Linked DNA regions of Nothobranchius furzeri. The protein of the gene in region 5 purifies or fractionates together with the protein of the main gene of each other region. This does not show direct contact. Links are inferred from orthologs where the notes say so. Each region holds a gene or a part of one and is shown on either strand. Other genes may lie near its edges.

Region 1 (4,091 bases), on a different chromosome or scaffold from region 5:
ACTGAACAGGATGATGCGGTCAGGTGTTCGGAGAGCTTTTGTTCTTCCTGTGGTGCCTCTCGGTAAAAGTCCTCCACATGCTGGTGACAGCGACTCGGGCCATGAGCACCGTGATGCTGAAGTTACGTCGGTACCACTCCCTGGATTGGGGAGGAGACAGCAAATAATAAATACGATGAAGCTTGATGATGCTGTGGAGGTTTTTCCTGGGCTTTAACTAATAAAGCCTGAACACAAACAACACTGACAATAAACGTCCAAAGTGTCCGGCTCACGCAGCAGCTCGTTATGAGAAAAGCTCCACAGAGGTGTGCGTGGGGGGGGGGGGGAACGACACCCGACGCAAAAACAACTCACCTGTTATAATTTGCATGTCGGAGCTTGTTTTGGTCCAAAAAGCTTTTGTAAAACAGAGCCATCTCTTCGCTGTTCAGGGACCGCCGTCTTCCTGAGCGGAGCAAACCGACACAAAGTGGATTTCATTCAGCATTTTCACAGTCCTGACTCCATTTTCAGTTTCATTTCGTTGTTGTGTAAAAAACACCAGAACATATGTATGAGAAGCCTCACCGTCTTCGTCACGCAGAGTCAAACCTTTGGCCTTCAGATGCGAAATGATGAAAGCTTCTTTTTCCTGCAGAGACTATATCAATCAGTTGTGTTTTTGGAAAAGTCTGTCTATTCAAATGAATCCAAAGGCAAGTTTATAACGCGGTCGCACTGATATTACATCTTTGCCTAATCAAATTCAAGCACGTTCGGGCTTAGATTTAGGATTGTGCAGCCAGATTTGATTTACATACATGCTCAAAACAGTTCTTTGTCTCATCAAGGAAATAAGACTGTTCGACGTCTGCTATAATTTCAAGCACCTGTAAAAATCCTGCAAGCTGGAAGCACAAGTCATGTTACACTTCCCTAATATGAACACGTGACCTCGTACGGCAGGTGACCGTAGCCTCCTAAGGACACTGTACCATACCTGATACCATCGACTCATTTCACTCCAAAGAAAACTTTCCAAAGGATTTTCTCCATTGAGCTTTGCTGCCACCTGCTGGTGACAACAAAGAATTGTAAGCAGCATTTTAACCTTGCTAAAGCTGATGTTCTGCTTGGTCCAAAACTCATGGTTCCAGTCTTCCGTCTCCTGCCTCAGCATCCTCAGCCGCTTCTCCAGATCGGATTCCTTCTCGGGGATGTGGTACACGATGGGACGCAGATTGGACAGAGGGTTCGGTGGACCGATCCAGTCATGTGTGGAGCTGGGCTTGGGCCTGAAGGTGGACCGCTGCATTTCAAAAACAAAATACAAAACTGTGAAGGTAAATTAATGTCAGTCTGGGACCAACACGGTAATTAGACGTGTTCCAGCCAAGCTGCTGCAGCTAGCCACTAGGAGGCTATTTAGGGTGTCTGTTTCTGTCTCCTACCATGAAAAAGTAGGGTGGTGTGGAAACTGTCTACTAATCCTGAGACAAGTAAAGGCTTAAACACATTTATCTGTGCTTTAACTGTTGAAGAGCTGGTCCTGTCCACAGATGAACGTCACAGAGCTGAACTGAGTCAACGCCACACGACAGCGAGCTTATCAGAACCAAACAGGCATCACGATGAAAGCAGCAAGGAGAAAAACACGATCCCAGACCCAGAGACCAACGCAACGGTACGGAAAAAACAGATAATTGTCAGAAATATTCTAGACATTTTAAATACTGTGAATACTATGATGCTCTGGGACATTACTTAGGAAAAAATAGAATAGTAAAAAGGACACAAAAACAGAAATGTGCATCTGGGTATGGTACTGAATGTACTGATGTTAGCATACAGGTCGTTCTCAAAAAATTAGCATATTGTGATGAAGTTCATTATTGTCAGTAATGTACTGATAAACATTAGACTTCCATATATTTTAGATTCATCACACACAACGGAAGTAGTTCAAGCCTTTTATTGTTTCTAATATTGATGATTTTGGCGTACAGCTCATGAAAACCCAAAATTCATATCTCAAAAAATTTGCATATTTCATCCGACCAATAAAAGAAAAGTGTTTTTAATACAAAAAAGTCAACCTTGAAATAATTATGTTCAGTTATGCACTTAATACTTGGTCGGGAATCCCAATGCGGCGTGGCATGGAGGCAATCAGCCTGTGGCACTGCTGAGGTGTTATGGAGGCCCAAGATGCTTCGATAGCGGTCTTAAGCTCATCCAGAGTGTTGGGTCTTGCGTCTCTCAACTTTCTCTTCACAATATCCCACAGGTTCTCTACGGGGTTCAGGTCAGGAGAGTTGGCAGGCCAATTGAGCACAGTAACACCATGGTCAGTAAACCATTTACCAGTGGTTTTGGCACTGTGAGCAGGTGCCAGGTCGTGCTGAAAAATGAAATCTTCATCTCCATAAAGCTTTTCAGCAGATGGAAGCATGAAGTGCTCCAAAATCTCCTGATAGCTATTTGCATTGACCCTGCCCTTGATAAAACACAGTGGACCAACACCAGCAGCTGACATGGCACCCCAGACCATCACTGACTGTGGGTACTTGACACTGGACTTCAGACATTTTGGCATTTCCCTCTGCCCAGTTTTCCTCCAGACTCTGGCACCTTGAGTTCTGAATGACACGCAAAATTTGCTTTCATTCGACAAAAGTACTTTGGACCACTGAGCAACAGTCCAGTGCTGCTTCTCTGTAGCCCAGGTCAGGCGCTTCTGCCGCTGTTTCTGGTTCAGAAGTGGCTTGACCTGGGGAATGCGGCACCTGTAGCCCATTTCCTGCACACGCCTGTACACGGTGGCTACGGACGTTTCTACTCCAGACTCAGTCCACTGCTTCCGCAGGTCCCCCAAGGTCTGGAATCGGTCCTTCTCCACAATCATCCTCAGGGTCCGGTCACCTCTTCTCGTTGTGCAGCGTTTTCTGTCACACTTTTTCCTTCCCACAGACTTCCCACTGAGGTGCCTTGATACAGTACTCTGGGAACAGCCTCTTCGTTCTGAAATTTCTTTCTGTGTCATACCCTCTTGCTTGAGGGTGTCAATGATGGCCTTCTGGACAGGAGTCAGGTCGGCAGTCTTACCCATGATTGTGGTTTTGAGTAATGAAGCAGGCTGGGAGTTTTTAAAAGCCTCAGGAATCTTTTGCAGGTGTTTAGAGTTAATTAGTTGATTCAGATGATTAGGTTAATAGCTCGTTTAGAGAACCTTTTCATGATATGCTAATTTTTTGAGATAGGAATTTTGGGTTTTCATGAGCTGTATGCCAAGATCATCAATATTATAGACAATAAAAGGCTTGAACTACTTCAGTTGTGTGTAATGAATCTAATATATATGAAAGTCTAATGTTTATCAGTACATTACTGACAATAATGAACTTTATCACAATATGCAAATTTTTTGACAAATGTTTGCATGTAAATAAATTCTCTCAAAATTTAGATACACGGCTTTTGAATATCGATACAACCATTGCAGGAAAAAATACCACGATATATTGCCATATCGATATTTTCTTACATCCCTAATCGAAATTCTGAATCATTAGATTTGACTGACAGGTACCATGAGCGTCAGAGCCCGTCAGTCAAATCTAATGATTCAGAATTACAATCCCTGGAACTAAAGATGGCTGATTGTCGGATCGGGGCCATATTCACTGAGATCAAAAGCTATTTCAGTTAAAACCATCCTAATAGGTGTGGTTACATTTTAACACAGGGCCTCTCGTTTGATAGTTGCATTACGATTCTTGCATCCATTGAGTTTTTGGAGAGTTTCTGCTTAAGTTTCTTTGCAGGAAGTCAGAATCACCTCCCAGACCTCCTACTTGGATGAGATCTGCCTCTGCAGTCCACAAAGGTTAGAGGATGTTGCAAAAGCTTCCTATAGGGTTGTGGTCATGGGTTAGAGTTAAGGTTATTCTCTCCTTTTTCTGCCCACACTTTGGTTTTTGTGAAATATCGAAGGTTTTCATACCTTACCCAAGGCATTCAACTGTTTCATGCTTTTCAGAGGCAGAGATAGTTTTTCTTGCCAAGCTGGTTGAAAATGGAAAATCCTTTTCAGTAGTTTCTCCTTAATT
Region 2 (3,500 bases), on a different chromosome or scaffold from region 5:
ACCCGATCACTCACCAACTTGCCTCCTGTTCATCTGGTGACTTTGGTGAGCGTACACCTTTTTTTTTAAATCTGCACCAGACTCTTAAATATTCTGCATAATGCACTTTAAATGCAACCTGGTGAACTGAATGCTGTTGCATTGCCTTTTAGGCCTGTGGTCTCCTGAGCAAAAATCTGTTAATAAACATAAAGTCAGCAGCAAAGTAACATGTTGTGGGTAAGTTACTGTAATATTCTGCTCTAGCGAGTTTTTCTGCAGTGCATCCATGTCTGTTGTGGCTGCAGGTGGACAAACGATGGGCAGTACCTTGCACTTGGCATGATGAATGGGGTGGTGAGCATACGTAACAAGAATGGAGAGGAGAAGGTCAAAATAGAACGTCCTGGAGGCTCCTCCTCTCCTATATGGTCCATAGCGTGGAATCCCTCCAAGTATGTTGGTCATTAATATTAATATTATTATAAAATCATGTTACTGAAGCCAAATACAAATGCTTTTTTTCATGAAGATGTTATATGTTGTACTACTGCCCATATCTATGTGATCTTAGGTCATGTTTTCATGCAGCCAGCAGGTGGCAGTAGTTGACATGGGAGAGGATGCTACCCTCTAAGGCAGGGGTGGGGAACTCTGGCCCATCAAGGGTCGCTATCTAGCATATTTTAGTTTCAACCCTGCTTCAACACACCTGATTTCAACAGCAGGTGATTAACAGGTTTCTGCAGAGCTTGATGAGCTGCTGAACAGGTGAATCAACCACTGAACCAGAAGTGTTGGAGCAAAGACATACAGGAACTGGCCCTCGAGGACCTGGGTTCCCCACGCCTGCTCTAAGGCAAAGTCAGGAGCACTGCTGTAGCTGTTATAGTGGCCCATCTAAAATGTTGTTTAAAGAATAAGAAAGAATTAAGAAAATCTAAAAAGGAGGATAAGTAACTTAAAATTGGCAGCAAGTTATCAAGAAGATGCTTCATCAGTTATTATCAGTCGAGAGAGCGTAGTGTCGGGCTGGGGAAAGGGCTGTCTGAGCTGCTTGGGATTGGGTTTCCTGTGAATGAATTAAGGTGTGTTGTGACATTTTTGACAGGGTGAATGGGTATGCGGGCTTATCCTGTCATTCAATACTCTGTCTTGAGTTGACATACAATTAAAACCTATCAGAAAGAAAACATAAAGCTCTGTCACTTCCAGCGGAAAACGTCTCAGTCGTAAAGAGGGTTGGCCACTCTGGTTTCCTCTGGCATTTTCACTTAAACAGCCAAAGACCCCATCAGCACAGACGGTTGTCTTGAGCACTTAAGTCTGTGGTCTTTTCATTTCGCAGGGATGAACACAGTGACATTCTGGCGGTGGCAGACTGGGGTCAAAAGCTCTCTTTCTACCAGCTCAGTGGAAAGCAGGTGAATAAATCAGAAATCCATGTGGAGAGTCTCAAAACTAGCATATTACTCTTATTTCAGATATCACAACAACTGCACTGTGTTGTTTTTGGTCATGCTTAATGTTTCAGATCAACTAACAAATTTCAATATCAGACCTAGATAAAATTATCAGGTACAAAATAAATTTTTCACATAACGATTTCACCTATTGAGAACAACAACAGCTAACCAAACCAACCAGGCTCTTGTCAAGTCATGGATTAATTGTGATTAACCTTATAAATTAGGGCTGGACAATATATCGGCATCAATATCGGTATCGGCAGATGGTAGTCATTTTTTTAGCATGTTGGTATCGGTTCGATAAATAAAACCGGGCCAATATTAACAACCGATATTTTTTCCATCTCATCTCCATTTGTTTGCCTGTTTCAGAGGGTGAGGGGGTGATGTGTGATTTTTTTATTCATGTGAACAGTGAATGAAATATTCTCAGAACCGTAAATGTGTGTGTTGTGTGTACAAAATAATGCAAATTCAGCATCAGTAATTTTCATTCAATACAAGATCTGCTGATTTTAGAAGCATTAATGTCAGTTTATTGGCAAATATCGATAATATCGCCATAACAGTGATCTTAATATCGGTATCGGTCCAAGAATTTCATATCGGTGCATCACTATTATAAATATTAGCCCACACAGTAGAATCAAGAAATCACTTCAATAGAACTTGTCTGACATCATGAAATATGCTAAAAGACCTTAAAAAGCAACACATTCTGTCTTCAAATTCCCTTTTTGGTTCTTTTTTAAACACAGATGAGGTTTTTCTTTATCTTGCTGACGTTTCGTTTGCGGAAGTGACGCCACCATCAGCGTCAGCTCTGAGGATGTTTGCAGCCGCAAACGAAACGTCAGCAAGGTAAAGAAAAACCTCATCTGTGTTTAAAAAAGAACCAAAAATGGAATTTGAAGACAAACACAGCAAGAACGTACAAAAGAGATTCTGTCTTGCTTTGAAGAAATTCATAAAGTAAAGAACCCCAAACAAAATCTAAAGAAAGGTCTTTAAGGTGAAATAATGATGTGAAAACTACATTTTGTCTGATGTTAAAATGTATTTGCTGCTCTCGGAGCAAACATGGTTTCACATCACCATATTTCCATAAGAACACATAACATTTAACAGATTAAAGGCAGACTGTCATTATGGAAAAACTTAGATTTTAACACTCATTGTGCAATAACTTGCATTATATTACTAAAAGTAATATTGTGTTAAATACACTAATGTAACACATTAACTGAGCTATGGATCTGTTTCCTGTTGGATGCATTTAAATCATAACAGGTTATTATAAGTAATCATGTGATGCACACCAAGAAAAAAGCAATACACATTTTTAGGGAATTCTTTTCTTCAACTAGGACAATAAGAGACATAATGTGATGTAAGGCGTTAATGAAGTCATTTTAATAACAATATACAGTAACAATAATTACATTTTTAGTCAAACATTGCCATATTTAATCATACTGGGTGTGCACCGTCACTTAAACATGCTTCAGTAAGCCTTGAAGACTAAATTTGCTCCACTAAATGGTTGACCAGGACCTGAAAGGGTTAACGACAGCTCTTTCTTCTATTCTCTTTAGACAATACTGTCATTGTAGAAAAATATTCACTGTTTATGTCTCTGTTTGAATGAATTATGCTTGTGTGTGTTCTCATCTGCTCATTTCTCATTTTAAACGGCCGTCGTGTTTTGATTACAACACCAGGGATTGTTCACGATGACAGAGAAATAGCTGGAGATTTGTCAAGGAGGCTTTTTTGTGCACAGTGAGGAAAAACAGATGGACAGGACCGGGTGACCTGATGTTGCGCAAATGGACTTTGAACTCTAATACAATAGAGGCTTTTAAAACGAGAGAACCCCTTTCTTTTCTGTCTTTCTTTTCATCAGACTCAAAGAGATGGCTGAATGTGCTTTGAAGTGTGTGGCCCAGGCAGTGGGAAGGGTTGGCTCAGGCCCCTGGGCCATTAATATATATATATATATATAAAATGCTTGTTTTATTCCGGTTTTAACGTTCTCTCTTTGTTCTCTCT
Region 3 (3,632 bases), on a different chromosome or scaffold from region 5:
ACAGTGTGTGTCTCCCCCCCCCCCCTCCCCCATTTTTGTAGTTGGCATAAGAGCAGCAAATATACTTGATTCTTCAGATCTGACTTGAGATCTGTTTTATTTAAGTCTATCTTTTGCGGTTATTTTATTTTTATACAACCTCAGTAACTTCACTGACAGATGAGATCGCATGAAATAAGATGGTTGTTTTAATTTTAGCGCAAGCTGTTTCTATGACGACTGTTACTTGCTGTTTGCCAAGTTTCTTGCCAGAGCTGGTTGTTTATATTGAGGTTGTAGTCGTATAAGGGAGGATGGAACTGGCCTTGAAATTAGAATAAGATGTATCAATCTGTTATGTGTTTGCTTAATATCGTATTAGGATGATCGTTGAGGCTTTTTAGGAGGAAGTGACATCAGTGTGGTTGCTAAGCAGCAGCTTGTTGATGACCTGGACCCTGTTAGACCAGAATAAATCATCTAATTGTATAGAAACCCTGATTGTTTAGAGTTTCCTCTTTTCCTGATTCCAGAAGCGAGAGATTCCAGATTATCTTTGTGGGAAAATCAGTTTTGAGTTGATGAGGGAGCCCTGCATCACACCCAGCGGGATCACTTATGACCGCAAGGACATAGAAGAGCATCTACAGGTAAACAGTTTCAGGTCTGCTGGTAGTTGGTGACTTGTTTTATTTGATTGTTTTTTTTTTTATCTATGTGTATGTTGTTGACTGTTTTATTTGTTTTAGCAACATCAACCTGCCAGAGGACTGCAAGTGGAAATTAGTCTTAAAATCTGGCATATTTACTGTTCATAAGTATGCATTGTCCTCCTTTAAATAAATAATGAATGAATGAATGAATAGAACAGCTTGTTAAAATGTGTGGACTGAACTGCGAGCAGGTTTACAGCATTGGTCACCATGGTGACAGACTCAGGTGACAGGTTAATTGTAATTTCCAACAGCATCTGAAGTTTTCTTCCTCAAGCCGCTAAAGCCAGGGTCACACTGGGCCGCCACCGCGACGTGAAGTGCTGATCCTGTGGTAGGACAGGCTTCTGTCCACAAGTCTAGACATGATCAGATCAGTAGCGGTGGGTTATGTATCACAGTACAGCAGCGACCATATGATATGTTATGATACAAAACAGCCTGAAGACCAGAGGCTTCCAGTGTTATCACGAGATCTCGTGAAGTCAGACTGAAGGCGGTAAAATCTGCTGCCACCTAGCAGTTGGAGGTAGAATTGCACCACACAAAGGGAAGCACAGTGGAAGATTATGTTAAAATGCTCTATAAAAATTTGATACACCTTCTTTTAAATATCAGCAATATTTCAGTGTATAGAAATTTTCTTGCATCTCTACAAATCAGTACTGGTTGTAACAGGGAGCCTATAGCCCCATTCCCACCTGTACCGGGTCGGCCCGGGCCGGGTAGCGTAGGTTGTTTACATATCTGGGTGGCCTGGAATTTTCCCGGGCCAACCAAGGCTCATTCTCGGCCCTCTTCCCGAGGAGGTCTGCTTCAGGCCGACCAGGGCCAACACACCCACTGCTGACAGCAAATTCACACCTTCCATTAGAGCAAGCCTCTGATTGGTGGGTAGAATCAGCCCATTCACACCTTCCATTAGAGCAAGCCTCTGATTGGTGGGTAGAATCAGCCCATTCACACCTTCCATTAGAGCAAGCCTCTGATTGGTGGGTAGAATCAGCCCACATGGGCTTAAGACAAGGATGTGTGGAATCAACCGGGCCAGGCTGGGGCCGACTGGGGCTACCCGGCCCGTGCCGACCGGGTACAGATGGGAATGGCCCATATGTCTCCTCCCCGTCAACGGCGCTGCAAAAGCTATTTTCTAATCTACTTTGCCTTTAACCCCGAGTCTCACATATGTTGTACTTTAGCTTAAATTCTAAATAGTAACGAGTTTAGATTATGTCTGTCACGTATTTTGAGATTTATTACCTTGTAAAAATTGATAATTAAAGTGGCCACAAATCAGACGTCGCATATACGACATCACCACAGTATCTCCTCTCCCCCAGCGTAGCGGCTACTTACCACATGGCCAGATTTATGGTGCTTTTCTACACGTTTAATGCTTTTTTTTGTCCTGGAAGAAAGATCCAAAGCTCGCTAAACTCAGTCGTTTTCTTCATCATGTCTGGTTTGACGACATCAATTTTGTGAGACAAACATTTGTAGTCTTATACATTTTTTCGCACAAAATCTAAAATAACTTTAGCCATTTTTTAAAAATAAGCACTTTCTTGCCATCAGAATGTGTCTTTAAAATTCACAGACAGCATTTGTTAAAGCCATAGCACATATTAAACGGGATCAGAAAACAGCTTTTATTGGCTCATCATGCTTTTGACAGTAGTGGACCCAGTAGATGAGCGTGGCTTAGGCTCCCTGTAGTTATCATTGGTTTACGTGGGTTAACGGTATTACAAGTGTTGGTTATTGGCACAGTTAGAAGAAAAGCTGTTCAGTTACTTTCTCTAAAGCATCAATAATGTAGTTGTGCACAAATACATTAAATCCTTCTTGTTTGCATTTTTGCAGCGAGTTGGTCACTTTGACCCAGTCACCCGAAGTCCCCTGACCCAGGATCAGCTGATCCCCAACCTGGCCATGAAGGAAGTGATTGATGCCTTTATCCAGGAGAACGGCTGGGTGGAGGACTACTGAGGAGGCTCGCTCCTTTTCTCTTCCAGGAGCCAACACCAGACCTGGATAAGAATATAGAGAACAGATCACCCTTTGCCTGGATATGAACTTTACTCAAGCCACACAGGAAACTACCAAACGGGGAGTATAAAGCATCCCAGTTTGCATCCTCCCAACGGTTTTGTTCTTGGCTGTAAAACCTTTTGTTGCAGCTCTCGGAGGCTTGGTGTTCATGGCCTGTTGCTCCCTTTAAGACCTGATCACTCTTTCTCTCGTTCAGCTTCTCTATCGTGTTTTTTTTTTAAATTTAATTTAATTTTTTTAAGTCGTCCAGCCTGACTCCTCCTGTCTTCATAATGGGGCTTGTACTCAGGTCTCTGCCGCACTCTGCCTGCTTTATCTCTGAGTGCCACAGTTACTGGGAAACATTAGCATCACACTCTAGTGTTTCACATATACCTACAGTAGGTCTCTAAATACACACATATATACTTAAATATAAAATAAACCAACAAATTTTGCTGACAGACATTTTATTTGATATCTAATCCAGTATTTTTGTCATATTTCATAAGAAAAAGAGCATCTGCCCATCTATTCTAGTATATTTGTTGAAGTGGTCAGAAATGCCAATAGACGTTTTTAGTTTTACTTGATGCATCGAGATGCTGGTGGCGCTCAGACCCAACCGTCTTTGTCACTTTAAGGATTTGAGTAGAATAAAAAGGTTTTCCTCTCCTTTGCATATCAATCACACCTTCAAACAGACAATTCCAATAAGTCGAATGAATGAGTTCTGTATTTTTTTTAGTTTTAGAGTCAGTCCTCAGCGATTTGCCATGTTTTTCTGAAACGCCTTGAACTGGAAACAGAAAATAAATGGCTGCATATATATATAAACAACGTTCCCACATTGCTGGATATGAGTTCAGAATGTTCAGCTGTTGCTAAAACCCGCGTTGACAAATGGTT
Region 4 (3,500 bases), on a different chromosome or scaffold from region 5:
ATGGTTAACATCTGCTGCATGCTGGGCTCGAGTTTAGTTATTGCCACTTCAACCTTTGTTTGCCAACCTTTGTTTGCCATTCCTGAGGGGGTGACGGGTCCATACTGGCCAGATTGTTCTGTAAAGGGTTTTCTGGAGACCCTGAATTCAGCCACACACAGGAGTTAAATATATAAAAAGATACTTTATTAAAGGAGTAAGGGTTTGGGCATGAGCTGGGTCTCTGCAGCTAAGTACTGTTGAAGGGGTCAGTGTAGAGGGAAAATGTGGCAGAGGCAGAGACAAGGGAAAACGTTGGTTTGGACTGGAGAGTTCCCAGGATGTTCCTTAGACAGAAAACTCCCCCTCCCCTTCTGTCTGTGAATATGTCTCCTCTTCTGTGACACAGACAAATGTTATTGTCCATAAATACTCAGTCCATAGGCAGGGTTCGGAAACAGGCAAAGGTCATCAACAGAGAGGCAGAAGCAGGCATACTTAACAGGAGGAGCAGACTAGGATCAGAAGCCGTGGTTCAAAACAGGGTCGGAGTCCAGAGGTCAGAAAAGCAGACAAATCCTTTAAGGGCTAGGCAGAGACAATCCAGGAACGTGAACGTGGTACAGGGCTTGGTAGGTCAGAACGATGAATTGCTGGAATCCTGAGACAAAAGGCTACAGACAATCTGGCAGAGAGGCAGAGATCACTGAGGGTTTAAATAGAGGAAAGAACAGGTGTGCTCCATGAAGTAATCAGGCAGAACTCAGGTGAACTAAATGATGCTGATTAGTGCAGGAACGGCAACCAACATGACGGGCAGAATATCAGGAACGTGAATCATTACAGTTTTACTTAATTATTAATATTGTGGCCACGTAAACAAACACTAGCATCAATAGCTATTCTTCCAAGAGCAACCAGTATACGTCATCGCCCCAGAGTGCATTGTGTGCGGAAAACATGGCATCCTACGAATGTCCAAAAATGTACTAAATATTATAGATTTCTAAATAAACAGCAATATTTTGTGTGTTTCTAACAACATAGTTTGGTACAACAGAAAACTTCTGGCTTATTAGGGCATACACATCCTCATAGTCGGAATTCCTTTTAAGGCTTAATTTGTTTACACTGAAAAAAAAATCCTCTGTTCAAGTCCCTTATTTGTAACGTGCAGTTTCTACATAATTGGATTGAGTTTATAAGATGAACTTCATAAAAATGATAACTTAAAAACATACACTGTAATTTTTTACTTGGATCCTTTGTGTTGCACTAACTTAAAAAAATCTAGTTCAGATACATTTGGCACAAAAATCTCTGAAACGATTGCAACATAGGAGGACAGAAGATGTGCATGTGCTGAAGGTATGTAAATAAATGTCATCGATAACATGAACACAAGTTATTTTCTATAAAAAATATAGACACAGTAATTTTCCTTAGTGTGAAAAATTATCCTCATTTAACAAAAAAATATTTCACCAGCTGCTTTGGGGAAGAAATACTCTTTATTTTTGTTGCATAATTTTTAATGTTTGCCAAGTAACACAAATAAACTGATAGTGGAGGTGTAGATTTCTGTTCTGATGGACTGAACTGTGTTGTTATAAATGAAGAGTACAAAAGGTGAAGGGTGATGATGTCAGCAATGAGACGAGCACAGGTCATGTATGAGTGTAAATACGGTACCTGTTGGTGTTGAATTGTTGCTTGCAGCTCTAGCATTTCTTGTTCTAAGTTTTTCTTAGTTTATTTAGAGGTTATATATCTTTTATAACCACCGATCTTGTCCTAAAACATAGTTTAACAAATAAATTCAACACCAATCTTTTGTATTCAGTGTCTGATCTGAACTGCTGAACTTGCCGTGTTCCGGTATTCGTAGCTCGTACTCAGTAGCTCGTAAAACATTGACCTGAGGCGGAAATTTAGCAACGCTTCTGGGACGCGTCCAGTACCCCATCGCCCATCGCCCCAAGGAACTAAACCCATTGACTGTAACGGCAGCTATTAGTTGCATATTACCCTTCACAGGCGTTACGTGACTCTCATACATCCAGTGGAAAGCCAGGGTCAATTTGGAAAACTCCCAGAGGAAAAGTCATTTAGACATTAAAAAAAGAGCTCTAGTATCAGATGGTTGCAGGTGCAAAGGTTGGTTTCAACCATTATATATATTTATATATATATATATATATACAGCTCCAGAGCACTAGCTGCAGTACCACCAGACAGAGGAACAGATTCTTCCAGATCTGATGAAGCATTATAGCTCTGTTGCTTCATGCACATCAGACTTACACACACCTGTTTTACTTGCACAAGCCTTTGGAGAGTGTTTGCACAATTGCTACCTTGTGCACAATACTAGTCTAGTTTATTCTAGTTGGTTTACTGTTTGGTTTAGTTGTTACTAATGTAGTTTCCTGTCATTAACCCCCACTACCTTTACGGAATTTCAAACCATGTACCATTGAAATTTGTTCTTAGATAAGGAATAGCAGTTAGTTACTGCAGATAAGATAAATATCTACTCCACAGAAACCCACTTCAAAAGTCTGATCTATTGCTGTAATTTGTTTAAAGGAATCCATCTGGAATTTGTTGTCATCGTAGACTAAAGATAGCCCTTCCTTGACCGCTGCGTTGCTCCTCATATTACAACTGTGTATTTTAGGTGTGTGTGTGTGTGTGTGTGTGTGTGTGTGTGTGTGTGTGTGTGTGTGTGTGTGTGTGTGTGTTTTGGATCTTCTGGCTGTAGCCGAGGGCCTGGATGTCTCGTCTTCCTTAGATTTAGTTAGCAGCTGAGCTAGTGTCCAGGTGATGGGGTTGATGAGTTTTATGTATTCATATAAGCATTTCATATCTCACTGGTCTTATTTTAGTTATATTTTTGTTTTTTTTAGTCATATTTCAGTCTCTGGTGAGCTTTTATTTGTCACATTTAAGGTGATCTGGTCCCTCTAACAGCAGTGCAATGGCCTGTCCAGAGGATGTGGTTGAGCATTTGGTCGTGAGCTCAGCTGCACAGAACCTCGACCGAAGGCGCTTCTCACGAGACCTCCACAATCTGAGTCCAGATGAGTTAGACGGCCTCATATCAGCTGGTGGTGAGGCAACACGCATTTAAATTAGGCTTAGTGGTTCATTGAGAAATTTAGTCAACATTTTCCTTAAACTGTGTTGCAGAGGGTCGTTCGTTCCTCATGGTTCATTACCTCCCTGAAATTAGAGATGAAGGTGTACCTTACCTGATGCCGGGTGTTCCTATTACATGCAGAGTGGACAACACAGAGAAGTACACCACCAGCTCCAAGGTACAGCTGCTTTTGAATGTAAATAAAGTGTTTTTGTGGAGTTGTTATTTTTAAGTGTATCACAAGTAGTACCAGCATTATCACATGAAAAAAGTGTGTGAAAATGCTGTTTTTTGCTGTTTATCATATGAACCCACTTAGGACTAAATCCAACCATGGACGTAGTTTTTTTTTGGGGGGAGGGGGGGGGGGCACATGTCC
Region 5 (4,122 bases):
TTTTCAACCAGTCTGTATCAATGAGTGCTATTTTCTGAGCTGTAGTCTGTTGCAGAAGCATATTATTGTATGAAATGACGCAGAAACAGCTTTTTCTCAGACAATTTTGATCATCTTTGTTCAGTTTTTACAGAAGCCTGGTGACATACCTGCAACATGATTGGCATAGAGCAGCTGTTCCAGTACAGCTGTTTTACCAACTCCAGCCTGACCACACACAACTACTTTACAGCTTTTTCCCATGATGACGTCCTAGTCCCTAGTAGGAAAATCTGTTGAAGGAATAAAACAAACAGATTAAACCCTGCTGAGCCAGTTAACATTAAAACTGTAGAGAAAAGAGTAAATGTCATAAATGACATGAATAAATTTATTATCAGTCGCAGTGTGATTTTAATTTATTTTATAAACATTATAAGTATTAACAGCATCAGTGTCATGCAGTGATCTGGCATCTGTGAACAACGGAGTTGTAAAAACTCTTTCCCATGTCTGAAGACCGTAAACACTAAGGCGGTTTTGTCAGAATGTTGATTAAAGAACAATTAGTGTTTATTTTCAATACCTTTGCTCAATGATAATTGTTTCATAACATGAATAAAGCAAAGAGGTCAGATATTGTTTTCAATTGGGACACTTCCTGAATAATTTTGACCTCCTCCTTATTGGAGGCTCCAAACGACGTTTCTGCAGAAGTGCTGATATATTAGCCATAGAGGTGTTCCTGTTTGTTTTCTTTTATTTCAACAGCAAGTCTTTTAATGAGTGTAAAAATACATAAAAATTAAATAAAAATAAAAAAGCAAGTGAAAATGAACAGCAGACTGACAGGATCCAGCATTCCCCAAATGCAACATAGTCGACCCAAATCAAACATAAAATGCTTCCAAGGTGTAACGAACAAAACCAGACACAGCTGAGTCACAAAATGAGAAAAACATCCTGCTAGCTCTCTGCCTTTCCATCTCCTAGCCTTTCCATTGCGTTGGCTAAATAAAACTCTTTTGTTTTTATTAACTATTAATGTCAAAATTGAGTAAATAATTTTAGAATGAACATAGTTGCTTTTCTTTGTGGGCTTTTAGCCTAGCATTAGCTTTCATAAGATACGCAACTACAATGTCACCGTGTACGCAATGGACGTAAGCCAAACCTGACAACACTTAGTACATGTCGTCAAACATACACTGACTAGCTTCGTTCTTGGCAAAAGTTAATGGTTTGTAGTATTATTTAACATTACTGACAGACTGCTTTCTTACCTAGCGGGCTAGTTCCTGTTTACAGTGTACGTAATGACGTTTTCTTGCAAAACTGTGACTTCCTGTTTACAGCGTACGTAACACCGCAGTATGAAACCCCGCCCATTCTCATTGACGGTAAAATGGCGACAGACAGCTGTGATTCTTCGAACGCGGAGCCTGACATGGAGCTGCTCATCACTGACGAGGATATAGAAAGGTTTGAAAATGGCAATGCCTTGTTGTCAATGGTTATCGGATACACAAATAACTTGTTAGTCCAACGTGTGTTTTAACTGCCTTGTCATCGGAGTTTTCTTGTCGCACTTAAATGCTAACTAGCGCTATTGCTAACTGTAAGCTAACGTTCGATAGCCTTGTTCCCCTTCTCTAACTTCTCTGCCGGATTTAAACGAGGATCTGAATTTGTTTTTAGTTTCATAGCATTAGCGTTGTTTGGGCCTTTGCACCACTGCCGTATTTTCTGATTTTGTAGAATGACACTGTTCTCTGACTGTGTGGTCGTGATGTTAAGCTTTAAGCCATCCAAATAAAGTCATGGCAGTTGCACGGAGCATGGTGTCATATGTTCCTGGCTCTGCTCGCCTTGCCTGCTTCACAAAATAGCTACGGGTTGGCTGCTGTTTAGACTCTTTCTATGTTTAGCTAACGCAGACCGGAAAATTCTGGAATGCATCATAGGCACTGTCCCTTATAATCACAGATGTTCTGCATTGGTTAGGAGTATTTCAGCAAGCCTCTAGTTACCATCCAGATGTATCAAAGCAAGTTTATTGCAAAGAAGATATTCTAGTCAATTTTAGGTTTCAGAGGGTGAGTCATTAAAGCATAACTGGTGTATTGTATAGGAGCTAATCTAAAGTTTAAAGTCTAGTGGTTGTTGAAAAATATTTAGTTTAGTATTTCAGGACAGTCAAATCAGTGGCGTCCAAACTTTGAGAAATGGGCAAAAATAAACAAGTTAGAAGTACTGGGAGGAGTTTATTTATTTTTTTAATGTAAAAAATGTTCTGTTATGTCTTTATTTGCATCCCCTCAACAAATCATAAAACACAATGTTTTATCAAAGAGGAATTAACATTTTTGTTAATTTTAGTGTAGTGAAGATCAGAAAATTTGTGTATTTTTGAGCCATCTAAAACATCTCGTATAACATGGAGTCAAACTCCCTGAATCTGATAAGTTGATTGCTTTAGCAGAATCTAGATTGCCTCTGCTTTAGTAGTGTTCACTGTATTTCAGTGGTTCTCAATCCTGGTCCTGGGCGGCCGGTATCCAGCATGTTTTTGTTGTTTCTTTGCTCCAACACACTTGATTCAGTGGTCAAATCACCTGTGTAGCAGGTCATCAAGCTCTGCAGAAGCCTTTTAATTACCTGCTGTTTGAAATGAGGTGTGTTTAAAGAGGGTTAAACCTAAAGCTCCTCCAGGACCAGGATTGAGACCCGCTGCTGAATTTGATCAAGTTTTCTAAAAGATGCTGACAAGTCTGCCATTTAGTTGGTCAGTGAGGGTTTGGTTCTAGTTACCATTAGATCAGTATAAAAGCCAAACAATGTGGTTAAAGACAAATGTTTTGAACTATTCTTAACCTATTCCATTTTATAATGATTTAATTCATCCGTGTTCTTGCTAGGTCTCACATTAGTAAAAGCATCGAGATTAACACAAAGTGTGTCTTCATCAACAACCTGGTCTACAAGGACAACATTACGCCATTCACAAACTGCAGTAGAGGTGTGGTTAGGAACTAATCAACACTCTTGCTTAAGAGTGTAAAAATGGAGTTTTAAACAACTCTTGTTTGTGGTTTTAGATCAGTTAAACATTTTCTGTAGAGATCTGCAAACGTTATGGGTAAATTGTTGGCTGTAAAATTGGCTTGACTCTTAAACTTAGAAGTCATGCTACTTATTAAGTGTTTTGCAAAAACAATATATTGTGTTGTTCCATACAAAAAAATTTCAAAAACTATGGAACTCTTTCAGTTTATTTATCATATTTGTTGCAAATTAGCTAAATAAGTTCCTCTGCTATAGATGAATCCATTAAAAGCAAGTTGCTCATAGTACCAGTCATTTTATATTTCATTTCAGGGTTTCTTCCAATTCTCTTTCTCAGGTTATTGGGTGGTAATATGTAGAGCTGGGCAATAAATCGAAAATGTATCGTTATCGAAATGTCTCACTCTTATCGAGAATTATTCCCATGTCAATAAATTTGATAATAAACAATGAAAAGATGTGTGTAGGTTGGCAACAACCTACACAAAGTCACGTGACCCCACAACATTTGGTCTGTAACCTGAAGGGAGATGGTGAGGACACAGATGACTCAAATGTTGGAGCTGTGGGCAAGGGCAGCAGGTAGTGGACAGCAGAAGCTGGTGACAGCGAGCAAATCCAAAATGTTGTTAAAGGGAACAGTCAACTGTTGCTGTACTGGCAGTTATCATCCAGTTATGGTCATCAAGGCAAACTGCTCAATACATTTAGGCCATGTCACCCAGCCCTTCTCCAAACTAAATGGCACAAATGCTTCAAGAAAATTTCAAGTTTCGGAATAAAATCAGGAACTATCAGCCTCACTGTGAACAAGTGGTTTAGGGAGCTGAATGGATGGCTTTACAGCCTTTAACCCCAATGGAAATACATGGCATGTGCTTTGAGATGACTACTCGTTGACCTAATTCTTGGCAAAAAATCATTACTGACCTGATCTCATTTTGCTCTGATTTTTCTGTTTCTCTGCCTTCTCTCCACAGGGAAGCGGAGGGCTTTAAAGAGCAAGGCAATGTCTTTTATATCCAGAAGGATTACACAGAGGCATTCAGTTATTACTCCAAGGCTATCGGTAAACAT
Region 6 (3,500 bases), on a different chromosome or scaffold from region 5:
CTCCTCTCTGGACCATCATGCATCATGTCTACACACAGAGATGACGGGAGGAGTTACTGAAGTGGAGCTGGAGACACTTCTAGAAGAGGGAGAGGACATTAAACATTATGTCGGACATGCTGTCCTCTGGGTCAGGACAAAGAGCTAAAGGACAGAGACAGTGAAACATCTGGAGTTTTGGTGAAAAGAGTAAGGGAAGACTTAGGGGTCCATTTGGTCCTGATGTGAGGTACCTTAGCCAGGTTTTCGAAGACGCCGAGGCTGCACTTAGAGATGGTGATGTTCATGGTGTCTTTAGAGCAGATGTTGATGACGGTGCGAGCTTCAGGAAGCATTGCGAAGTCGTCTCCGTGCATGGGGCTCTTGTCCATGATTGGGTTGTTCTTAACCTGCAGGAGGAGAAGGGGTGGAGCCTAGAGCCAGCTGTTTCATGACTACCAGACAAAAACCCAAGTGCTTGTGGGTAAAACTCCTGATCTCAACCTGCTTTACCTCAAGTTCCAGGTTCCACCTGCGTCGGCCGCCCTCCAACCGCTCTATCAGAGGTTCCCACACAGCATGGGTCTCGTTAAAATAGTTCACCTGAGGATGCAGCACAGCATCATTACAGGTGATCAAACTATTCATCAGCTCCGATTTGAACAAAAACACAAGATTCAGGTGGTTCGTCTCACAATTTCACGAATTAGTCTGAAGATTTTCAAAACAAAAGCTCACAAACATCTAACCCAGAAAATAACTTCAGATGTGAACTCAGGTGGGTCACATCATTGGGACCTGGACCTGGATCAGGTTTTACCTCCAGCGTCATGTCAGCCTTCAGCTGCAGCAGAGACGACCAGTTTCTGGCCACGCCGTTGACGGAAGACTCAGCGAGCAGCAGGGGGACGGTCCGATGACCCAAACCAGACTCCAGAGTCACTTGGATCACCTGTGGGATCACCACACCTCATTAACAGGAGGGAACCCCGAACAGGTAAGTGTGAGGTTCTTCACCTGAACTCTTCTTTACCTTGATCTGAGCCGTGAAGGTTTCTCCCTGGTTTCGTCCGTCGGGTTCTCTGAAGCTCTCGGTCATCTCCACAGCCTGGTCCACCCCCAGAAACCAGAAGTTACAGTTGTAGATGTTCATGGTGGACCACAGGTCTCCAATGTCAGGCTTCGTCTCCTGGTTCTGCTCCACGCTGGGCTTCGTCATTCCAGCTGCTATCGTCATCACCGTGTTGAGGATGACCGGAGAGATCTGCAGACAGCGATGAGTTCAGGTACAGTTGCTCTCACTTTTACCCATGTCTGAGCTTTAGACGGGTAAGTGAACGCACCTTAACGATGACTTCCTCCACTGTCACAGAGCCGCTCAGCGGTTGGTTGGGATGCATCTTTGTTTCCAAGGAGACTGAGCAGGGCTTCAGCACCTGTTGGACAGAATCTGGATCATCTGTTTTTCCACAAAACTGTTTTGTTGAAAAGGTTCCGATCCAAACCTACGGTGGTGAAAGCTTTGTCCTCCTTGTCTCTGATGAAGCGGCAGGCCAAGACCTTCAGGCCCCTCAGGTTGGCCCTCATGCTCTGGGACCCGTCCTCCTCAGCCTGCAGAGTGAAGTCACACTGGAACGAGGCCACCAGAGCCGGTGCGTCGGCCTTCATCAGGCTGGCTACGAACACCACCTCCGGGTCCACGATCACTGCCTGCAGGCGGGTCCGCACCACTGAAGCTGCAGAGGCAGAATGTCTAATGGGTTCCTGGTTCTGCAGCATGACAATTAAATATGTCCTTATTTATTTAAGGACCACAGCTGGACTGGTTCCTGGACTCACCGGTCTTGGCATCAGCTCGCGGTCCTGCCGTTTGCTTCAGAGGTAGCCTCTCGGTCGGTGCTGCAGAGGTGGACGAGGACAAGGACGAAGTCTGTGGATGAGCCTGCAGGAAGAAATCTGCGACGGCTGTCAGAAACTCCATGCTGGCACACAGATAAAGTTTCTGCAGAACCGCCACCACGTCCCGCTCCGAGGCGTTCTGCCTGAAGGTCACATCGATCATGGCCTGGGAGCTGCTCTCCTCCTTCTGCCCAACCATCCTGCAGGAGGTCGACACAAAAACAACTTCTCTGTTCTCTGAGGGTTAAGTGTCACATTTAGTTTGATAGAGGCAACAAATTGTTCTGAGGCCTAATCCAGGATTTTACTGCAGCGGGGCAGCTTCCTGTCTGTGCAGACTGACATAAACATCATCTCAAGAGTTGATACGAAAACGTTTCTTATAAAATTCCAAATGTAAACTATCAAATTTTATATAATTTATACAAGTTCTGACTCCTAAAGTGAAATTGGCAGAATGCTGCCTCTTTGGCTCCTTCATGGACCAAAAATAAAACCAGATTTTTGAGTTTCAGACTGGCCCGTCAGCGGTTCCACCCATCACACTGACGGTTTGGTTTCCTTTTAAAATCCGTGACAGGTTTTCCTTTGATGGAAGACATGCTGTGATCAGAACCGTGTGACTGTTACCGAGACGTGGCCCGGTCCATCCCCGTCCTCAGGTCATCCAGCGTGCAGGCAGTCAGAACCGTGCTCACTTCCATGCTGCCGTCATTCAGGATCTTTCCTGACGTTTTCAGCAGCTGGAGGGCAAATTCTCCAAGTCTGAGGTTCTGCTGGTGTTGGAGGCCTGTGGGCTGCCGAGAACAGAGAACAGTAAGACCAGAACCACAAGAACCTCACATTTAACCCGGTTCTGACTAACCTGCTTGGGGTCGTTGTGGTACAGAACCAGACCAAGAGACTCAATGTTGAAGTTAAACCGGACAGTCTCCACGGGTTTGCCACTGCTCTCCGGTGGCTTCTCAGACTCACCTGAACAGGTAGAAGACCGGTGACGTTAAATAAGACAACCTGACTAATGGGACTCAAGGTTCGGGTTGAGTCGGACCTGTGGGGGGGTTCCTGAAAGCTGGGACCTGCTGACTAGCCTCTTGTCTGGGAGCACTGGGACTCGGACCAGAAGCCTCTCCCAGGTTCTCCGTCAGGATCCAGAGCATGACTCTCAGGTCGTCCTGACTCAGCTCCAGCTGTACAAACGGAACAGGATCAGAACAGAACCAAGCTCTGCTCCAACAGGTCCACTAGGACACAAACATGTTAACCTAGCTTAGCATAGGGCCTCTAGAGTCTGACGTGGGTCTAGGGAAGACCCCGTCAAAACTCAAGAGGAGAGAAAACAGCACCTTGGTGGTTTACCGGGACAGAACTGGACCAGCACATTTCACACATGAACAATAATTTCACTGTGACCTCGTTGTGATGTGTTCCGTTTCTTCCTACCTTCATGGGCTTGAGGTCTCCATCCACCTCCACAGCGGCCATCTCCTGGTACCAGCCAACTGACAGGTTCCTCCTCACACCCAGCTGCAGGTTGAGCGGCTCCAGCAGCTCGATGTTGGGTCGGCATGAGTCTGGGTCCAAACAGGTTCTGATGCACAAGAACCTCACATTTATATCAG
Region 7 (2,811 bases), about 58 Mb from region 5:
TCGTGCAGCACGCAGACCGGTAACTGATTGCTGTGAGAACAGTCCATTTGGTGTCTGAATTTTTATGTTACCTACATTTTTTACTTATCGAGTTATTTTTCTTTTTCTAGGCTGGCCCACTTGCTCCATTTGGCATGATGGGAATGGTGAGTAACTGATTCTTTAATAGCATTTGTGTATCATGTGACTCCCAACAGTTTACAGAGCTTTATGTGGTAAATTCTGTTATAGAAAAGGCTTGAACGGTGTCCTGTTGGGGTGGGAATCTTTAGGTTCCTCGTAATCTGATTTGATTACTCTGTGTGTTGTGTGAGGCTACTAAATGATCAATGATGCATTTTCTACCCGTATATTTGCAGGGTGGAGGCTTCATGGATATGTTTGGCATGATGGAAGAAATGATGGGAAACGTGGTGAGCAGCTTTGAAAACCTGTTTCTACTAACAAAATACTAGTGCACGAGTATTGCTTCCTAACACATAGTGCTTTTTTCCCCCTTCTCTTTTAGGAAAGGATGACCGGAACACCAAACTGCCAAACATTTTCCTCCTCGACAGTGATCTCCTATTCATCTTCAGACGTGGGGGCTCCTAAGGTTTATCAGCAGACAAGTGCAACAAGAACAGGCCCAGGAGGGGTACGGATAACCTCAAGCTTTTAAAATGTTGTGCATTAATAACCTGGAGATTGTGTCATCTGAGAAGGCTCCTTTCATTGCTAACATGGTACACGAGTTTAAAGGTTTGGAACACGGAAAAACCATTTTACTGGTTATTTCTGATTATAATCAGCCAATTTGATGCAAGCTGAACATGACAATGGTCTCCTACACAAGCTGCTGATAGAAAATAGACAGAAACAGTTCTACGTCACACTGTCACTTAACATTTATGGACTCACCCGTCCTGACTCACAACGTGGAAGGCTGTTGTTGGCTTAGCGTTTAGAAAACACCAGAGAACGTCTCAGCTAGTAGGAGATAACTGTTAGCATTAGCAACTCCACCACACAGCACAACTCCTCCAGATGTGTGCTATTTGTGGAGATAAAACATCAACGTTGCAAAACAAGCAGTGGAGGAATCGCATTGCTGTTATCCAATCAGAGGCAAGATGTCAAAATAATCAGGAAGTAAGATACTTGGCTGGAGGAGGAGCTACTTTCCAAGTCCAGCTTACAAATGGGCCATTCCCATCTGTACCGGGTCGGCCCGGGCCGGGTAGCCCCAGTCGGCCCCAGCCTGGCTCGGTTGATTCCACACATCCTTGTCTTAAGCCCATGTGGGCTGATTCTACCCACCAATCAGAGGCTTTCTCTAATGGAAGGTGTGAATTTGCTGTCAGCAGTGGGTGTGTTGGCCCTGGTCGGCCTGAAGCAGACCCCCTCGAGAAGAGGGCTGAGAATGAGCCTTGGTTGGCTCGGAAAAATACCAGGCCACCCAGATATGTAAACAACCTACGCTACCCGGCCCGGGCCGACCCGGTACAGATGGGAATGGCCCAAAAGCGTCCATTCCTACTAGAGATCTCTGCAAATGTATTGATTAAACAAGTGCTCTGCACCTAGTTTATTTCAGCATTACTGCGGTCTTTTAGCTTCATCAGCACATTAAATTACCATAAACTGTAATGACTTTCACTCTCGGTATAAATGTCACTTTGTGTCAAACAAACACTGCTGGCTGGGTTGGGTCTGAGTGCAGAAGAGCCATTTTAGTTTAGTTAACTGTCATCTTTCCTCTCAGATCCGTGAAACACGGCAGTCCATGAGGGACAGCGAGAGCGGCTTTGAGCGGCTCGCCATCGGCCATCATATTGGGGATCGTGCACACATAATGGAGCGTTCACGAAATCGCCGCACTGGTGATCGCGAGGAACGGCAAGACTTCATTAACCTCGATGAGAGTGAGTAGTGCTGATGTTCTTCTAACATCGGTTTATCTGTGGATCTTCAGGAAGATGGATGGAGAGCTAATATTGAAGGCAGGCTGGGTTTTAGTTTAAATATCCTGGCTTGTGTTCTTGTTAGCTGATGCTGAAGCGTTTGATGAGGAGTGGAGGAGGGGGGCAGGAAGATACACTTCCCCAAATGCTCGTGGGCTGGAGTACGGTCAGGATCCGCGTGGGGGAGGACAGCAGCTGGCCCTCCCGGCCCCTTCCAACTCAACGCCCCCTCATCGACATGAGTCTCCCAGACACCGTCAGCCCCAAACCCGCCCACGTTACGACTGGTGAGAAGGTAAGGTGGACGTGGACTTCATATGGATGCACCTAAAGTTTGAGTTAAACATTAATCCAAATTCTCAGAAACCACAGCAGCAGATGCTTTCATTCCCTTTAAAACAGACCATGGTTATGTGCTGTAATGGTTGAATCTGTTAATCTGGTTACATGGCTTATTTATTCAGCTTTGGCTTTATAAGATAAAGATAAGAATCCAGATATCTGTTGTTTTCATACCTTTGAAGAAGATTCCTCCAGCTGCAGTTGGAATCCCCAGTCCTGTAAAATATTGGTTTGCAGTTTTGAGATCTAGACCATAAAATCAAAGGGAAAAGTTTAATCAAAATGCGTCATTTTGCTGTTAGTTTGCTGCAGTCATCTCATTTACCAAACAGCTGATTGGTGGAGAACATTTTTTAACAAAAACAGGGAAGCTTTGGTTAGAAATTGTGACTTTCTGCTTGTGTGAAGTGAGAATGTGGCTCTGCTCAGACAGCTGCTGGCTCAACGGGAGCAGCTCGATCATCGTTGCTTCATGTTGTTGACCCCGACTTCAAACTGGAGGCATCAGCGACGCGGAACGGTTTAC

What was found.
Region 1: the proteins of dnajc7 (region 5) and bag5 purify together in Homo sapiens (affinity purification with mass spectrometry; 4 studies listed by BioGRID and IntAct, with this or other methods). This does not show direct contact. The link is inferred for Nothobranchius furzeri from reciprocal best matches to the Homo sapiens genes DNAJC7 and BAG5.
Region 2: the proteins of dnajc7 (region 5) and ift122 purify together in Homo sapiens (co-immunoprecipitation; 3 studies listed by BioGRID and IntAct, counting the BioPlex papers as one, with this or other methods). This does not show direct contact. The link is inferred for Nothobranchius furzeri from reciprocal best matches to the Homo sapiens genes DNAJC7 and IFT122.
Region 3: the proteins of dnajc7 (region 5) and stub1 purify together in Homo sapiens (affinity purification with mass spectrometry; 3 studies listed by BioGRID and IntAct, with this or other methods). This does not show direct contact. The link is inferred for Nothobranchius furzeri from reciprocal best matches to the Homo sapiens genes DNAJC7 and STUB1.
Region 4: the proteins of dnajc7 (region 5) and pld2 purify together in Homo sapiens (affinity purification with mass spectrometry; 3 studies listed by BioGRID and IntAct, counting the BioPlex papers as one, with this or other methods). This does not show direct contact. The link is inferred for Nothobranchius furzeri from reciprocal best matches to the Homo sapiens genes DNAJC7 and PLD2.
Region 6: the proteins of dnajc7 (region 5) and vps13c purify together in Homo sapiens (co-immunoprecipitation; 4 studies listed by BioGRID and IntAct, counting the BioPlex papers as one, with this or other methods). This does not show direct contact. The link is inferred for Nothobranchius furzeri from reciprocal best matches to the Homo sapiens genes DNAJC7 and VPS13C.
Region 7: the proteins of dnajc7 (region 5) and mlf2 purify together in Homo sapiens (affinity purification with mass spectrometry; 3 studies listed by BioGRID and IntAct, with this or other methods). This does not show direct contact. The link is inferred for Nothobranchius furzeri from reciprocal best matches to the Homo sapiens genes DNAJC7 and MLF2.

What each region holds. Positions count from the first base shown.
Region 1 is NC_091758.1:10,654,799-10,658,889, forward strand, and holds the start of bag5 (BAG family molecular chaperone regulator 5), read left to right. Parts: upstream 1-1,291; 5' UTR 1,292-1,325; intron 1,326-1,523; 5' UTR 1,524-1,613; coding exon 1,614-1,666; intron 1,667-3,732; exon of another isoform or gene 3,733-3,868; intron 3,869-4,091. Other genes in the region: coa8 (cytochrome c oxidase assembly factor 8), read right to left, coding at 20-140, 358-448, 571-634, 1,094-1,291. UniProt on the Homo sapiens protein: Co-chaperone for HSP/HSP70 proteins. It functions as a nucleotide-exchange factor promoting the release of ADP from HSP70, thereby activating HSP70-mediated protein refolding.
Region 2 is NC_091755.1:54,395,013-54,398,512, forward strand, and holds part of ift122 (intraflagellar transport protein 122 homolog), read left to right. Parts: coding exon 1-45; intron 46-152; coding exon 153-219; intron 220-287; coding exon 288-434; intron 435-1,327; coding exon 1,328-1,403; intron 1,404-3,500. UniProt on the Homo sapiens protein: As a component of the IFT complex A (IFT-A), a complex required for retrograde ciliary transport and entry into cilia of G protein-coupled receptors (GPCRs), it is required in ciliogenesis and ciliary protein trafficking.
Region 3 is NC_091756.1:32,255,875-32,259,506, reverse strand, and holds the end of stub1 (E3 ubiquitin-protein ligase CHIP), read left to right. Parts: intron 1-512; coding exon 513-629; intron 630-2,555; coding exon 2,556-2,681; 3' UTR 2,682-3,132; downstream 3,133-3,632. UniProt on the Homo sapiens protein: E3 ubiquitin-protein ligase which targets misfolded chaperone substrates towards proteasomal degradation.
Region 4 is NC_091750.1:48,064,658-48,068,157, reverse strand, and holds part of pld2 (phospholipase D2), read left to right. Parts: intron 1-2,931; exon of another isoform or gene 2,932-2,952; 5' UTR 2,953-2,959; coding exon 2,960-3,092; intron 3,093-3,171; coding exon 3,172-3,299; intron 3,300-3,500.
Region 5 is NC_091745.1:16,068,566-16,072,687, reverse strand, and holds the start of dnajc7 (dnaJ homolog subfamily C member 7), read left to right. Parts: upstream 1-1,322; 5' UTR 1,323-1,384; coding exon 1,385-1,461; intron 1,462-4,025; coding exon 4,026-4,114; intron 4,115-4,122. Other genes in the region: nkiras2 (NF-kappa-B inhibitor-interacting Ras-like protein 2), read right to left, coding at 150-243. UniProt on the Homo sapiens protein: Acts as a co-chaperone regulating the molecular chaperones HSP70 and HSP90 in folding of steroid receptors, such as the glucocorticoid receptor and the progesterone receptor.
Region 6 is NC_091749.1:66,486,813-66,490,312, reverse strand, and holds part of vps13c (intermembrane lipid transfer protein VPS13C), read right to left. Parts: intron 3,470-3,500; coding exon 3,322-3,469; intron 3,069-3,321; coding exon 2,930-3,068; intron 2,854-2,929; coding exon 2,744-2,853; intron 2,676-2,743; coding exon 2,509-2,675; intron 2,079-2,508; coding exon 1,819-2,078; intron 1,716-1,818; coding exon 1,489-1,715; intron 1,416-1,488; coding exon 1,323-1,415; intron 1,244-1,322; coding exon 1,013-1,243; intron 932-1,012; coding exon 800-931; intron 583-799; coding exon 493-582; intron 390-492; coding exon 234-389; intron 1-233. UniProt on the Homo sapiens protein: Mediates the transfer of lipids between membranes at organelle contact sites. Necessary for proper mitochondrial function and maintenance of mitochondrial transmembrane potential.
Region 7 is NC_091745.1:74,062,665-74,065,475, forward strand, and holds part of mlf2 (myeloid leukemia factor 2), read left to right. Parts: coding exon 1-19; intron 20-110; coding exon 111-146; intron 147-359; coding exon 360-413; intron 414-508; coding exon 509-637; intron 638-1,744; coding exon 1,745-1,904; intron 1,905-2,028; coding exon 2,029-2,234; 3' UTR 2,235-2,238; intron 2,239-2,459; exon of another isoform or gene 2,460-2,531; intron 2,532-2,811.